2 linked regions of the Schizosaccharomyces pombe genome follow. The protein of the gene in region 1 purifies or fractionates together with the protein of each later gene. This does not show direct contact. Each region holds a gene or a part of one and is shown on either strand. Other genes may lie near its edges.

What was found.
Region 2: the proteins of apl4 (region 1) and mod21 purify together in Schizosaccharomyces pombe (affinity purification with western blotting, with the first as the bait; one study listed by BioGRID). This does not show direct contact.

Annotation. Positions count from the first base shown.
Region 1 is NC_003421.2:2,399,773-2,406,761, reverse strand, and holds apl4 (AP-1 adaptor complex gamma subunit Apl4), read right to left. Parts: upstream 4,766-6,989; 5' UTR 4,696-4,765; coding exon 2,185-4,695; 3' UTR 1,959-2,184; downstream 1-1,958. Other genes in the region: ribosome biogenesis protein nsa2, read right to left, coding at 1-7, 139-258, 319-389; protein Cwf18, read left to right, coding at 1,219-1,647; acyl-coA-sterol acyltransferase Are2, read left to right, coding at 6,389-6,989. UniProt on the Schizosaccharomyces pombe protein: Adaptins are components of the adaptor complexes which link clathrin to receptors in coated vesicles. Clathrin-associated protein complexes are believed to interact with the cytoplasmic tails of membrane proteins, leading to their selection and concentration.
Region 2 is NC_003424.3:247,470-254,234, forward strand, and holds mod21 (gamma tubulin complex GCP5 subunit Mod21), read right to left. Parts: upstream 3,458-6,765; 5' UTR 3,302-3,457; coding exon 3,138-3,301; exon of another isoform or gene 3,081-3,137; coding exon 1,211-3,080; 3' UTR 1,110-1,210; downstream 1-1,109. Other genes in the region: nucleoside diphosphate kinase Ndk1, read left to right, coding at 459-914; fatty acid elongase Elo1, read right to left, coding at 4,257-4,868, 4,923-5,283, 6,121-6,245. UniProt on the Schizosaccharomyces pombe protein: Component of the gamma-tubulin complex that is required for the regulation of both interphase microtubule organization and nucleation, and mitotic bipolar spindles. Required for correct septation.

The DNA of each region.
Region 1 (6,989 bases):
TTTGATACTGATAGAGTTAGTAACAGACTTTAAAAACTTTTTTAAATCAATGTACGACATGACGTTTAAACAATCAAATCAGACATCTCAACTTCACCACTTCACTGAAATTTTTATTAGCAATAACTCATGACATACGTTTTCTTCATTTGGATCTTCTCTTTGCGTCTCTTCTCCTGGTACAATTTCGCCTTTATACCACGAGTCTTCTGAGCATAAAGACTAGCATCGTGAGCTTCACGGGCAGCTTTTTTTCTCCTGAAATAGAAGTGTTAATAAAACTCTCAATTGACAATAAATCCAAAAAAATTTACTCACTTTCTTTCTTCATGATCGAAACGACGACCATGCTTGCGAATAGATTCCTCAATATACTCGTTTTGAGGCATTGATTGATATAGGCAAATAGCAAGTTAATTTTTTGCATGTGTGCTGCACCGGTATACGATGCGAACCAGACTTATTGAATGACAAGCTCTGCTGCCTTAAGTTTTACTATCGATTTTCAGCGACAACACGTTAAAAATAAAAAATTATCAACGATTACACTACGCCATAATGTACTACATTACGCCTCATTATATGTCATATGCTGACATATCTTTTAAGATTCGTTTATTGATAATTAGGGGTAAGTATCCTTCTACATGCATGGATTCCCGTGAATAGCAACTATTTAGAAACAAAAAAATAGAGCTTTAGCTGAACTGAGGAACGAAGTTTAGTTATAAGCTATATTAGTGATAGGTAACAATACAGCATATATGGTATAATACTATTGTACGTTACTGTTTATATTACCTGCATATTGCAATATAATATGTCACAAGGAAAACTCACTGCAGTTTTACGTATCCGTAAAACAGATACCAAACTGCGTAGATGACAACAACGAGCTTGGTTTGCATTTTCCTAACTTCTCAATATTCATATACATATTCTGCATTTATCAAAAATAACTAGAAAGTAAAACGATCTGGTAGTTCGTCGCTATTAGGTTAATATAAAATTACACACTCAATTTTTGTTTTTGTTTTTTGATACTGCTGATTAGGAACTGGAATTATTGTGCATTGTCAAACTCTAGTTAATTCTAGGAATTTTAACATCTCTCGATATTAATCTTATTACTTACTACAAAAAAAGTATCTTACTACATTCATTCTGGTTTTATAGTGTGGTTTTTCCGAATTTTGTGTTTTTGTATTGGAACAAAAAATGTCTTCATTAGATGAGGTAGCAGAGTCCAGAAAACAGAGATTAGCGGAATTGAGGAAAATAAAGCAGTTAGAGAATAAAACTCGCGATTCTCAAGAGGTTCAAAAAAATGTAATTGAGCATCGAAATTATGATCCAGAAGTGCAGGCACCTAAAATGGGATTCGTGGAACCGCCAAACATGATTGAATCAGTTGAAGCATTATCGAAGGAGATTGAAGAAAAGACTAAGAGAAAAATTGAAGAACAAAGTTCTGTTCCTGTTGAAGAACTAGATTTGGTAACTTTGCGACCTAAAAAGCCTACATGGGATTTAGAAAGAGATTTAAAAGAGCGAATGCGGTCTCTGGAAACACAAAATCAAAATGCAATAGCATTTTATATACAACAGTTAATTTCTGAACGTGCGCATAGTACTGAAAAAGCTTAAAGCAAGACTAATGCTTTCTAATGTTGGATTTACTCTCTGTTAGTTAATATATAATTCATAGGCTTAATTATTGCATTGATCAATTGTTAAAGGAAATAAGTTTAGGATTTTACATTTTATACTTTTCTAGTTGCGATTGTATTGGAGGTATGCACTTCTATTAAAATAATATTACAGCTTTAATTCTAAATCCGACCACTTCTTAATGAAGGGTTTGGAAGGTCAAATTTCCGTTCAATGATATACAATAAAGAATGAGCAAGTCTCAATTTGAAAATTACATAAGTGAACTTATCCAATAAGTATACCATGATTCCATATCGAGAAAATTGCTAAAATTATATAAAAAAAAACCTATTTTCTTTCATAAAAACAATTAGAGCTTTCATTTTCTATTACCTCATTATTCACTATTCTACGAACATTTTCTCGTAAAACTGACTAGACCCATCAAAAAGTGTAGCATGGATCATGTCAGAAATCTTCTTTGATAGCTCGAGCGTTATATTTTAAATGGCATTGTCCATACTTCGGATACTATTGTAAAAGGTCAGATGGCAACTTTCCAAAATCTACCTGATCGAGAGTATTTGATCCACCTTGTCGGACCACAGAGATACGTAGACGCAGTTTGACTTGAGAACCCGATGGCCCATGAACCCGCAGGGTTTGAGAAGTTTCTCCACCAGGCTCCATACTTGTAGTCCTCAAGGGCTGAATTTTCAGTTTCTGTGATTTGGGAACTGCCACTTCTAGATGTATTTTCTCAACCCTAGTCATTGGATTTTTATTTTTAAATTTAGCTTCAATGACGGCTGTTTTGGTACTTTCTTCTTTGGATGGCACCAAAGTTAACGTCACATCGTGTTTATCAAATACAACAATAGGAGGGTATGATTTGGAAGTTGATGGTATGGAAGAAAGCAAAGACAAGTTGTTTGATGGTTGGCTGGCTGAAGCATTAAAGTCCAAAGAAGCAAAGCTGCTTGCCAAGCTGTCAACCGGTTGAGCTGAAGGCGCCGGAGAAGCAAATAAACCAAGGATATCTTCAAAATGACTCTTTTTGGAAGTAGAAGGAGCGCGGCTTAAGCTGGATTGAGGGCTTTGAGTCATTTCATCCACTGGTGTTTCTAAGGGCTCAGCAACAGAAGGGGTAGTTAACCCAATGAGGTCTAGCAATTCGTTGCTTTCCTGAACACGTTTTTCTACGTGTTTGTTAGCCTTTAGCTTTTGCTCCGCATTTTGATAAGGCGTGGTCCTAGGAGGAGGCAGAGGAGCGGGAGTTGGTTCTAGAATTGTCTTGCTCAATTTGGAGTCATTTAATATAAGGTGGAACTCGACAGATCTTTGTTGCACCTCGGTGTTCTTGTTTCTCTTATAGGAATAAATTATCTTGTCAATACGAGAAGCAGTAGAAGAAGAACCTAGACGAGCACTTAACTTCGTGAGAGCGAAAAGACCATATTGAACAATTATGTACCTAGATGCTTCAACGCTATTAAATACTTCCTCAATAATGTCCACAATATCAGATTCTGAAACAGAATGAGGAAGGGTTTGATCATCATCAAAATTCATTGTTGGTGAAAGAAGCATCTGACCATATTCTCCAATTACCCAAAAAGCAGAAAGAGTTAAAGCTTCCTGAGATACATCTTCCTTTAAAGCAGCGTACAACTTTACCACAGCATATTCATGAAGTTCAGGAGCACTAGCTATGAGTCGTAAAAACGTTGAAAGAGTCGATTCACTGACAAAGTTGCCAGCAGATTTGAAGACTCGTAGAAGGGTATCGAAATGCCATCGCTTATTGGGAGCAAAAGCATTTGTGACTTCTGTAATATATTGAGCAGTGGATCCACGTAATTCATCAGAAACGTTATCAAGAAATGATAAAAGCTCACGCACCATGAAACGAACGTTCGCCTCATTAACGAGAAATGTAGAAAGTTCAAGCGCACGAGATTGAATAGAACTGTCGACATCATTAAGACAAGCAAGGATAGTTGATCGGTGACGCTGAACTGCATTTTCTTCACTATTTACAACGAGTTTCAGCATATTAAGAGCAACATAACGAGTGTTATTGTCACGATTACCTAAAAACTTTGCTAAAATATTGACCCCCAAAACTCGAAGGCTACTGTCAGAATTAAGATCAAGGATGGTACGCACAGCTTGATAAAGAATAGCATTACCTGCATTTCTAGAGGAATCAGTGTTAGTACAGACTTGAGCTAAAAGATCACTCATTTTGTCGTAAATTTTAGGGTTATTTTGACCAAGTATTGACAAAAACTGAAGGATTTTAACTTGCAAAAACGGATCAGATATATTGCCAATGTTATGCTCAGAGGAGTAAGTACTAGTGGACAATTGACGAATACGATAAATCAAATCGTCAGCTTGACTTTCAAATCGGGATATTAGCGACGGATTTATTTTGCAAGCACTGATGGCAAAAGCAAGAGCAGCCATTAAAACACCATGACTTTTTGAATGTAACAATTCATCGGTTTTCTCAATATATAAACTTTCCAAATCCGGTTCTTTTTGAATTACTCTAAGTGCACAGAGAACAGCCTTCTTTGATATATAATTATGATGGTTAGAGCAAAGTTCGGCTATGTCGTTTGACAAATCCCTTGCAAGCTCAGGGCCAGCGACATTACCAAACGCAGATAATGCCAACCCCACAATAAATTTGTCTCTAGATTTCAAGTCATTTTGAAGAGAATTTGTCAATAACGTCAAAACTTCCTGGTTCTCGTCTAACAGAAGCATAGCTGCTAGGTATCCCAAACGTTTATCCATGAATCGCGAACTCGACAACAATTTTAAACATTCAATCTGACCAAAGTGTGTCGGCTCACCGAGTAGAAATAAATATAGCAGCTTGGCAACATTTTTTCTGCGCATACGCATGTCATTAGAACCTTGACGAATGTTTTTTCTGATTTGAGCCGACTCTTTGAGAATCGTTGTGTGCTCCTCAGCAGTCGTTTTGGATGCCCGAACAGCCTTTATAAAAGATTTTAAACTTGACATCTTTGGATGCGTCTTTGGGGAATTGGTGAAACCTCTTTCCACTCCCGAACAAGTAAGATGCAGGTTCTTTGGATGTGTTGTTTGCATTACTTGGCTGTTGCTTGTACATGCGGTAGGGTATTGCACGGTAAATTTCTTTAAAACGAATTTAACGTTGCGACTCTTTCGTCAATCTATCAATAATGAATACTAAAAAATATGCTTTAAATAAAATAAATTTTAATTTGTTTTGTTGCTGCTGTGTTACGTTAAGTCAGCTGAAGTGTCTTTTTTTATAATTCCTAGTTTTTATTAAGCAGATGTAAATACCATTTATATTGATTAACTTAATATTATGTTACCACTTATTGCAAGTACATTTAAGAAGGTGTACTATGGCTAAGAGTTGAATATTTTTTAGGTATGGTTTTTGTGCTTTTCAGTAATCATATTACGTTTAATACACATTCCCTTATTAGAGGTTCTTAATAAAATCCATGTGCAATACTAAAGTTATCTTTCCATCCGTACCAATATTCACTGAGATATTTTACGTTCCTACTATAATTGATTCCAGTAAATATTAACTTGCATTTCTATGAGATGTATTGAAAGCAAACAGAAAAACGCAATCTAAACACAGAATATATAAAACAATGAAAATCAAATCAATTTCACTTAACAAAATAGGATGCAGCTTTAAACGACGCTCAAAACTGATGCATTCACCAATACTGCACAAATTAAAAGAATACCTAGCTTCCTTTGGTTATCTGTGTAATTTTTGAATTATCCTATCGAATTTGCTATATGGAGTTGTTAATTGATGGGCAATATCTGGAATTTATGTTTCTCTATTCGTTCTTGACCACGCTATGTGGCTTTGCTTCTTAACTATGCAGTTTGTAACCAGTTTTAATGGCACGTTAAATCACAGTGAGTTGTATTTGTGCACTACTATATTGCGATATGCAGGTAACGCGAAAATCGGGTATTAAGGTGTTATTGTAAATTATTATTGAAATGCTCATAATATGTAAACTAAGGGAAAAAGGTTCGATTGAGCATTCTTTTTTGTTTGTACCTGTCAGTCATTTGGTAATAAGCTACAATAAGCAAGTGCCAATGTCGTATCACATATAGCGGATAAATGAATAGGACATGTGATATATAGTGATACGTAACGAAATTTTACATAACGTGGTGTAGTATTGCAGATATTGCTGAGATCAGGTGGTTCATCGTCTTAGCTCGCAATTCTAACTTATCAACTCCTTTGCTCATTTTGAAACTGGAGACTTGGCTTTTCCTTACATAAATCGCATAGAACGTGAATTGCTTAGGAGTTCGAGCTTTTTATTTACTTCCATTCTATAGTGGAACATTTGGCATAGAATTTTTATTTTTGGAATCACGACTGTGGAGTTTTCGTCATACCAGTTCTGTCATCTTGAAATTCCAAGTTGGAACTTCCATCAATAGATTACATTTCTAAGTTTCTTGCTTTCATTCCTCAATTTTTTATTTAGAAGCGAAGCAAAAAATAAATTTAATCTTCCTACGTTCATATCCGCTTCTTTTTCAATTTCTTTGATACTGTTCGCGATACGTAGCTGCTGATTTTACGTTATTTTTTTGTTTTATCTTTTTCTTTATATATTTATCTTTTTTGTTATATATTCACTTAGTTGCTTTAATTGCTGGTTATTTAAAGATGATTGCTGCAACACCCGCTAAATCCAAACCATCGGATGTCAACTTGGAACAGACGTTCAAAGGTGTTTCTGAAACCTCAAAAATTGACCTTCGAAGGTCTAGGGCCGCTTACCGACCTCTGGAATTATCTCCTACTCCCTCGATTTTTGCTCGTAATTATCAACGTAATGCGGTAGACTTTACTGGATTTTTTGTGTTATTTTGGGTTGCTGTCTCTATTATGATTTTCATGAGCTTTTTAGAAAATTTCGAATTGACTGGAAGACCAGTTGTTGGCACTATTTTTAAATACTTTCAGTCTAATTTGTTAGATCTGGCAAAGGCAGACCTTGCTATGTCTTCAATGTTTCTACTTGCTTTTCCTTTCCAAAAGATTTTTGCTTTGGGATATCTGCGGTGGTATGGTTTAGGCGTTTACCTCTATTCCATTCTTATTTTACTTTTTTTAAGCCATTGTGTTTTACGCTGCTGTCTTAGCAACTGGTCCTGGACGCATCGTGCTATGTTTATTCTTCATTCTATGGTAATCCTTATGAAGCTTCATTCCTATAACGTTGTCAACGGTTGGTATTCTTATTGTTATCATTCGTTAAATAAGC
Region 2 (6,765 bases), on another chromosome or scaffold:
AGTTCTTCTAACTTTTATTAGTGGTTTCATTCGTTACATGGTCCTAAAACAGTAAGAAGTTGGCGATTGGGATAATAACAAATCCATTATATAGTATACAATAAGCCTTACAATCTTTTGATTTGTGGAGAGTTTTTACGTATGTAAAAAAACAAAACTGGCTTACCGTCTACGGGTACGCTTTGAATGCTTTGTAATGTGTTTGTAAATATGCATTTTTTGTAAACAATAATTTACGACCATTAAGATATCTGAGGCTTGGTGCTCTAAAAATATAAGAAGGTGTACTATAACGATTCTTATCATTTTTTATTATTTACATCTGTTTCCGCTTTGTTTATGCAATCATATTGTGAGTGTTATTTGTCCTTGCTCCGTAATCCTTTATATGGGATAGTAGACGGGACAGCTCCCATCTACTCAACCACCTCATATCACCGAGTATAAGCATTTTTGATATGTCGACAGAACAAACTTTTATCGCTGTGAAACCGGACGCAGTTCAGCGAGGACTGATTGGATACATCATCTCAAAATTTGAGTTGAAGGGCTACAAACTACGTGCTCTAAAATTTTTAGTTCCTAGTCGTGATCTTGTGGAAGAACATTATGCCGAACATAAAGGAAAGCCTTTTTATGAGAAACTCGTTGGTTTCATGGCATCAGGCCCTGTATGTGCCATGATATGGGAAGGTAAACAAGCCGTGAAAACTGGTCGCTTAATGTTGGGCGCCAGTAACCCTCTGGATTCTGCCCCTGGCACTATTCGCGGTGATTATGGTATCGACCTTGGTAGAAACGTTTGCCATGGTTCTGATTCCATAGAAAGCGCTAATCGTGAAATTAAACTTTGGTTCCAGCCTTCGGAAATCCAAGTTTACGATCGTACAATTGAACCTTGGATTTACGAATGAATAAGAAGAAGTTAAAGAGCCTCTTCAAAAGGACTCGTGTTTGTTATGGGTGATGCAAACTATCAGCAACACCCAAAGCAAATAAATATGACTAATGATTTTCTACCTTCATTAAAGCACACTATCATTTTTTTTAATAGATATAGGTCTTTTTCAAATATCATTCGTTAGTAAACGACATGAAACTAGAGAAATCGCATGTAAGTCAGTATGGTTTTACTCATCCAAAAGGTTACTTTTATGAAATCTATTGATTCTATACACGTAATGGTAAATATTATGGCATTTTATCGTAATCATGGCATTATAAGGAATAATAAGTCAGCCAAATTTCGTCTACATCGATAGGCAGAACTACCAATGGGAACAGAAGGATGTATGAGATTGTCCGCTAGTTTCGCTATTATATTACAGGTTTGGTCCAACGTAAATAACGGATCATTTTTAATTCCTGAAACGGTCGAAATTTGATATGTATTTTCCATGACATCTGGTAGCTCTTGCTTTTGACAATTGAGCAGCTCTTCATTTAAGAGCTTCTTTATGTCATCAACAAAAAATTCAGATAAACATTTCTGCTTTTGCTTTAAAATAAGTTTCTCTTTTTCCCCTATTACAGATTCATCATCAACATCATTATTAAGCGTTTCAAAAACGCCGTTGAATATAGAATTTTCATCAACTTCAGTAAAAGATTGATATAGTGTTAGGAAAAAATTATGACAGGTGTTGACGAATACATAATGCCCATAATAGAAACGACTAAATCTTTTTGACCATAACGACTTTTTAGCTTCTTCTTGTTGTTTTATTAAATTTTCAAACTCCCCCATTAAACTTTGAAAGTCAAAAGATAAATCCAAAGATTTACCAAGCTTTAAAATTTTGCTTCTAATTAATATTTCCATTTCCACAAGTAAATTGTTTAGAGTTGGAGATTGGTCAAAAACAATACTACCCAATTGGAGAGCAATATTGTCTTTCTCAAGGAAATTGTTAGGAAAATCCTTACAAAGGATTAAAATGTTATATAGAGGCCTGGCTATAGTCATAGAACTGGTAATTTGTGAGGCTTGATTAACCATCCACAATAACATTGCAATAGCAGAAGCTTTATAGAGCTTGAACATTTGTGAAGAGTAATTCCTTGTTGAATATATGAACTCCAATGTTTTAACAAAATCCCACATATTCGTTGCTGATTTTTCGTAAGCGAAACGAAAGCACAATAGTGGATCAACGAATTTTTTTACATGTTGAAAAAATTGAAAAAGAGTACAGTTCTTTGTAGCGTTATAAACTTCTGTTTCGAGTTTAATAAGCTCTTGGTGTGTGTTTTTTAAACAACTTAAGAGATGTGGTTTTATTTGAGGATAAATGAAGACAACAGAGAGAAACGGCTCATTCTTGGTACTTTGGTCATCACTTTTAAAAAACGAATCGCTAGGAGATGTTAGTTTTTGTCGAAAAAATTCCAAGTTAGAACCGTAATCGGCAAGTTCTGTCATTATACTGCGAAGAATCTCTTCGCTCATGTGATGAAGCTTTGGTAATAAAGAAAGTCGTGTTTCAATTTTTGAACCATTTTTTAAGAAGAAAAAACTTGGATAACCTATCAACATATATATAGAGTCGCGAATAATACTTCTTTCAGATATTCGGACAGTTTCGTTCAAACTAGAATCCCAAAACATAAAGGGTTTTATCTGTAAAAAATCTAAATTCGGTTGCTTGCTTTTTTTAAATAAAGTACATAGCTTATTGTTAGACGCGTTGTCAGACTCCTCGATGATAGGGATGTGGATGTTGGCTGGTATCGTAATTTCATTAGCATTTCCATTGAAAGTTTCTTCCTCAGAGTCTTCTGTTATGGTTTCATCATCAGGCATTGAAGACCAGTCAGGCATCAACCAGTGGTCTCCTTCACAACTAGTTAATAACTGGATTATAGCTTCTTGTTCATTCTTGTTGCAATCTTTGTAGACGGGAATTTGTGGGACATGTATATCTGAGGGTGGTTTAGATAATTCAAGGAAAAGTTTTAATATTTGGGCATGCAATATACTTTGCTTGACACTAACGGTTTGACGATTGAGAACTTCACAAGCGTTTCGTAAAGGCATTTCTAAATCTTCCCGACCTTGTATACCCATTTTGTCACAGATGCTAGATCAAGTTAGTCTTAACATTCCAACAACAATCGGCAGATCTGCTTTACGTTACCCTTTTATATGTTCTATCATTTCATGAAATACCAATGTCGAACTAGGGACATTTTGAATGATTTTCTTTGAATGTTTTAACCATTCACTAGCAACTAATGAATCATTATGTATTAGTTCCCTTAAGAGATGCTGTAGGATTTGATCCGCACGAGACATTGTCATTTACAGTTCTTGATAAAACATTTATTAAGCTTTGCCTGTATTCTCATATGTTCTTTATTATGTGCTGATATTGCTAAAATGCCGATTAAGGAGTGTATATTTCGTATACTATCGCGAATGAAGGAAAATTTTTGTTTGACATGAGAGAAATGAGTTGAGTCAATTTATGACTGAAGGGGGTTAATCATTATTTGCCGTTAAGCTGTGTAAGTCATTTATAATAGTAATAAAAAAAAAACTAATATATTTTGTTTTAAACGTATTTACTGTTATTAGATTAACCGGCGCCGCTCCCTAACTGAAATAGTAAGAAAACTTCAAAATAAATAATGAATTCCGTATGCTCACTTGCAATGACTACAAGTTATACAGAGAAATTTACCAACCTTACACAACTGTAGTACTGTTATTAGAACGTATATTTTCTTACTAATTTATACCCATTTTTCATAAGTTGTGCATTAGTATTACCATGGTTTTTTAATATAAAATATTAAACAAATGGACTTTTAATCTTTGGAAAAAAAGATTCAGAACATTATATTGAAGAAAAGATTTTGGCTCTGATTTTTTTAATTATATTATCACACCATCAAGTTTGACCTTAAGATACCACGAAGTTAACAAATCTATACTTAGTAGAGGTTTAGCTAAAAAGTTTAGAACATGTAAAGACGTCGATAAATCTTGATTAAGGAATGGGAAAAAGGATTCACTGGATAAAAGGTAGTAATCGAATATAGACAAGGATGTAAAGCTAACGGACAATTAAGTACTTTCAAAATTCACAAAATCGTCGCCCGTAAGTCACTCCAACTATTAATTGGTAATTCTAAATGCAACGTTAAGCAGAACAAAGAAAAAAAAGGCACTTGTAGACTTTAGGGCTCAATATCAAGTTATAAGTAAGAGCAAAATCGGGTAATTAAAAACCATAAGAGGTACCACGAAAACATTATTTTTCATTGTTTAAACCTGAAGAAATAGGATACAGATTAGTAACTATATTATTGCATTTAACCTCGGCAATAGAAGCGTTACTTTTTGAGAGACGCTTTAAGTCCGCATTTTTAGAAGATTCTGATGAGTTACCTTTTGTTGCAGCTGCAGCCTTAGCTTTCATTTTGAGAGCAGCATTTTTCTTGTAAGTGTTATGGTAAAAGACGATAAACAAAACAAGGTATGAAGAGATTGTTGCGAGACCACAGAACGCCGCTAAAGGATGTCCTGAGCAATGGCCCATACAGGCTTTGTAAAACTTCAACCGATACGCAACCTCCGTGTATACTGCGAAATAAATAAAACCTAAATCAGCAAAGAACTGAACGATCTGAAAGCGGGTGACCCATTTCTTCCAAGGAACCCGAATACCTTTGGCTACAAGATAGTAGTAATAATACATAGTAACATGAACCAATAAATTGATTTCAATGATCAACCAACTGATGGAAGTTCTGCCAACAATTTGAGTATATACAAGAACGGCAGTGGCACCATGATGGTAGCAATGAAGGAATTGAAGGGGTTTTTTGCGGAGGACAAGGAAAAAAGTATCTGTCAATTCAAGCTAAAACGTATGTTAGAATGAAAAAAGTATGGTCAAAAAACGATGGAGACGTACGAATTTTGAAATATAAGCACAGTAGTATAAAAATACCAGCGGTTGAGTCCATGCTTTCTCATTGCAGATAGAAAAGAAAAAACCGTGCTTGTAAATAGCAGGGGCTACTTGTTCAAAAATCAAAAGTGCAAGGATAGCTGAAGCGATGGAAAAAGTCAAATTATAATATTGGAAAATCTTTTGAAGACGGATAGGTTGCCTATTACGCATAATTCTACCTCCGACAAGAATTAAAAGATAGTAAGATATGATGATGGTTGCAACGACCGGGGCGGACGAAAAGCGGGTTTTGTTTACGATAAATTCAAAGGAAGATGGCCGCTTTCCGAATGTGGCATCTGCCAGGGAATTTAACCATGACCTAAAAATTGTTAGTAAAAATCAACATGAAAGCCTCTCAATCGCATTAAAACTAGTGAAATTTCTATTGTTCTTTCAGACGCTTGCTTTCATGTTTGGTAGTACTTAACGACTACACACAAAAGTAACACATGATGTGCCTCAAAAAAAGACACACCCCAGAGATGAACATTCCACAATCAATCAGTAATACCAGCAATCCAACATCAGCTAAAAAGTCACAGAGTTTAACTTGAGATGAAAAAGTTTTGGATGAAAAAAATTTCAGTAAACCTAACGAAATTTTCACCCTTGTTGATTCCACCTACTCTGCCGAGTCTATCGGGCCGTCAGCGAAAATGATTGGCTAAGAGCTCGCTTTACGAACCGTTAAGCATCCACATGGTGGAGATCTTAATAAACAACGGAATGATAAAAAACAACAACGAAAACTAGAAATACCGATCCGCTTTTTATCAATTGAATATCTAACAGAGGATGCTGAACGGAACGATATAGCGAGCGACAGTGTAACAACGGTAAGCAAAGAAAGGACGACAACAAAGACCGGTATGCTGGTAGGAGAGTGTCAAAAACAAAGAAAACTCAAAACAGAAAGTGGCTGGTCTACAGTCAAAATTTCAGAAAATTCAAAATAAACAGCGCCGGAAGTAGAAAGGCATTGAACAAGGATAAACGAAAAATATATACTGATTGATTTGTGTGGAAAAAAAGCAAGCATCTTCTAGAAGAGAAATTCACGTACGCATCACTATGTAGGCACATTAGTGAGCAAAGCTATGGCAAACATGGAAAACAGTTAAATAGCTTAGCGGAGGCATAATATCGACAAACTCACCAGATGGGATACTGAAATTGTCCTACCGAAACAGATGCCATGCCTTGATGATTATTGTTAGAGGTTAGAGACCCGTTCTCAAGCCCAATAATATGGTTATGGTGAAGGGTAGGTGAGTCAGGCATAATGAAAACGTATTTGAGATTTGCAGGGTACAAATGGCGGAGACTAGCAAGTAACGAAAACAAATAATACCGTAAAATACGGACGAAGTTTAAGAATTTGGTATCGAGTTCTTTAAATGAAAATACGGATGAGTTCAGCCCGCTCACTGCGTTGTGATATTTGCACAAAAAAAGCGAGGAAGGGGATGCGGGTAGGTGGAAGAAAAAAGAAAAAGACTATTCCAAAGCAAGGGAATAAGGAACGGAAGCTGAAACAAAAAGAAACGAAGGTTCCAGGAGTATGTAAGGGGTTAAACTGTACAGACTGCAATCACAGAAAAACCGTGGGAATGGATGGACGGGATGAAAAAATAAAATAACAATATCCCTGACGATATCGAGAAATAAGGAAACGAGATTCGATCTCTGCTTGGAGTTGAAAAAACGTGGATTCAACGGATCGACTTGGTAAACAAAGATTTGCCAACAAAATAAAAGAGCTTAGTCGCACAAAAAGAGTACTTGGAACAAGTAGGTACGT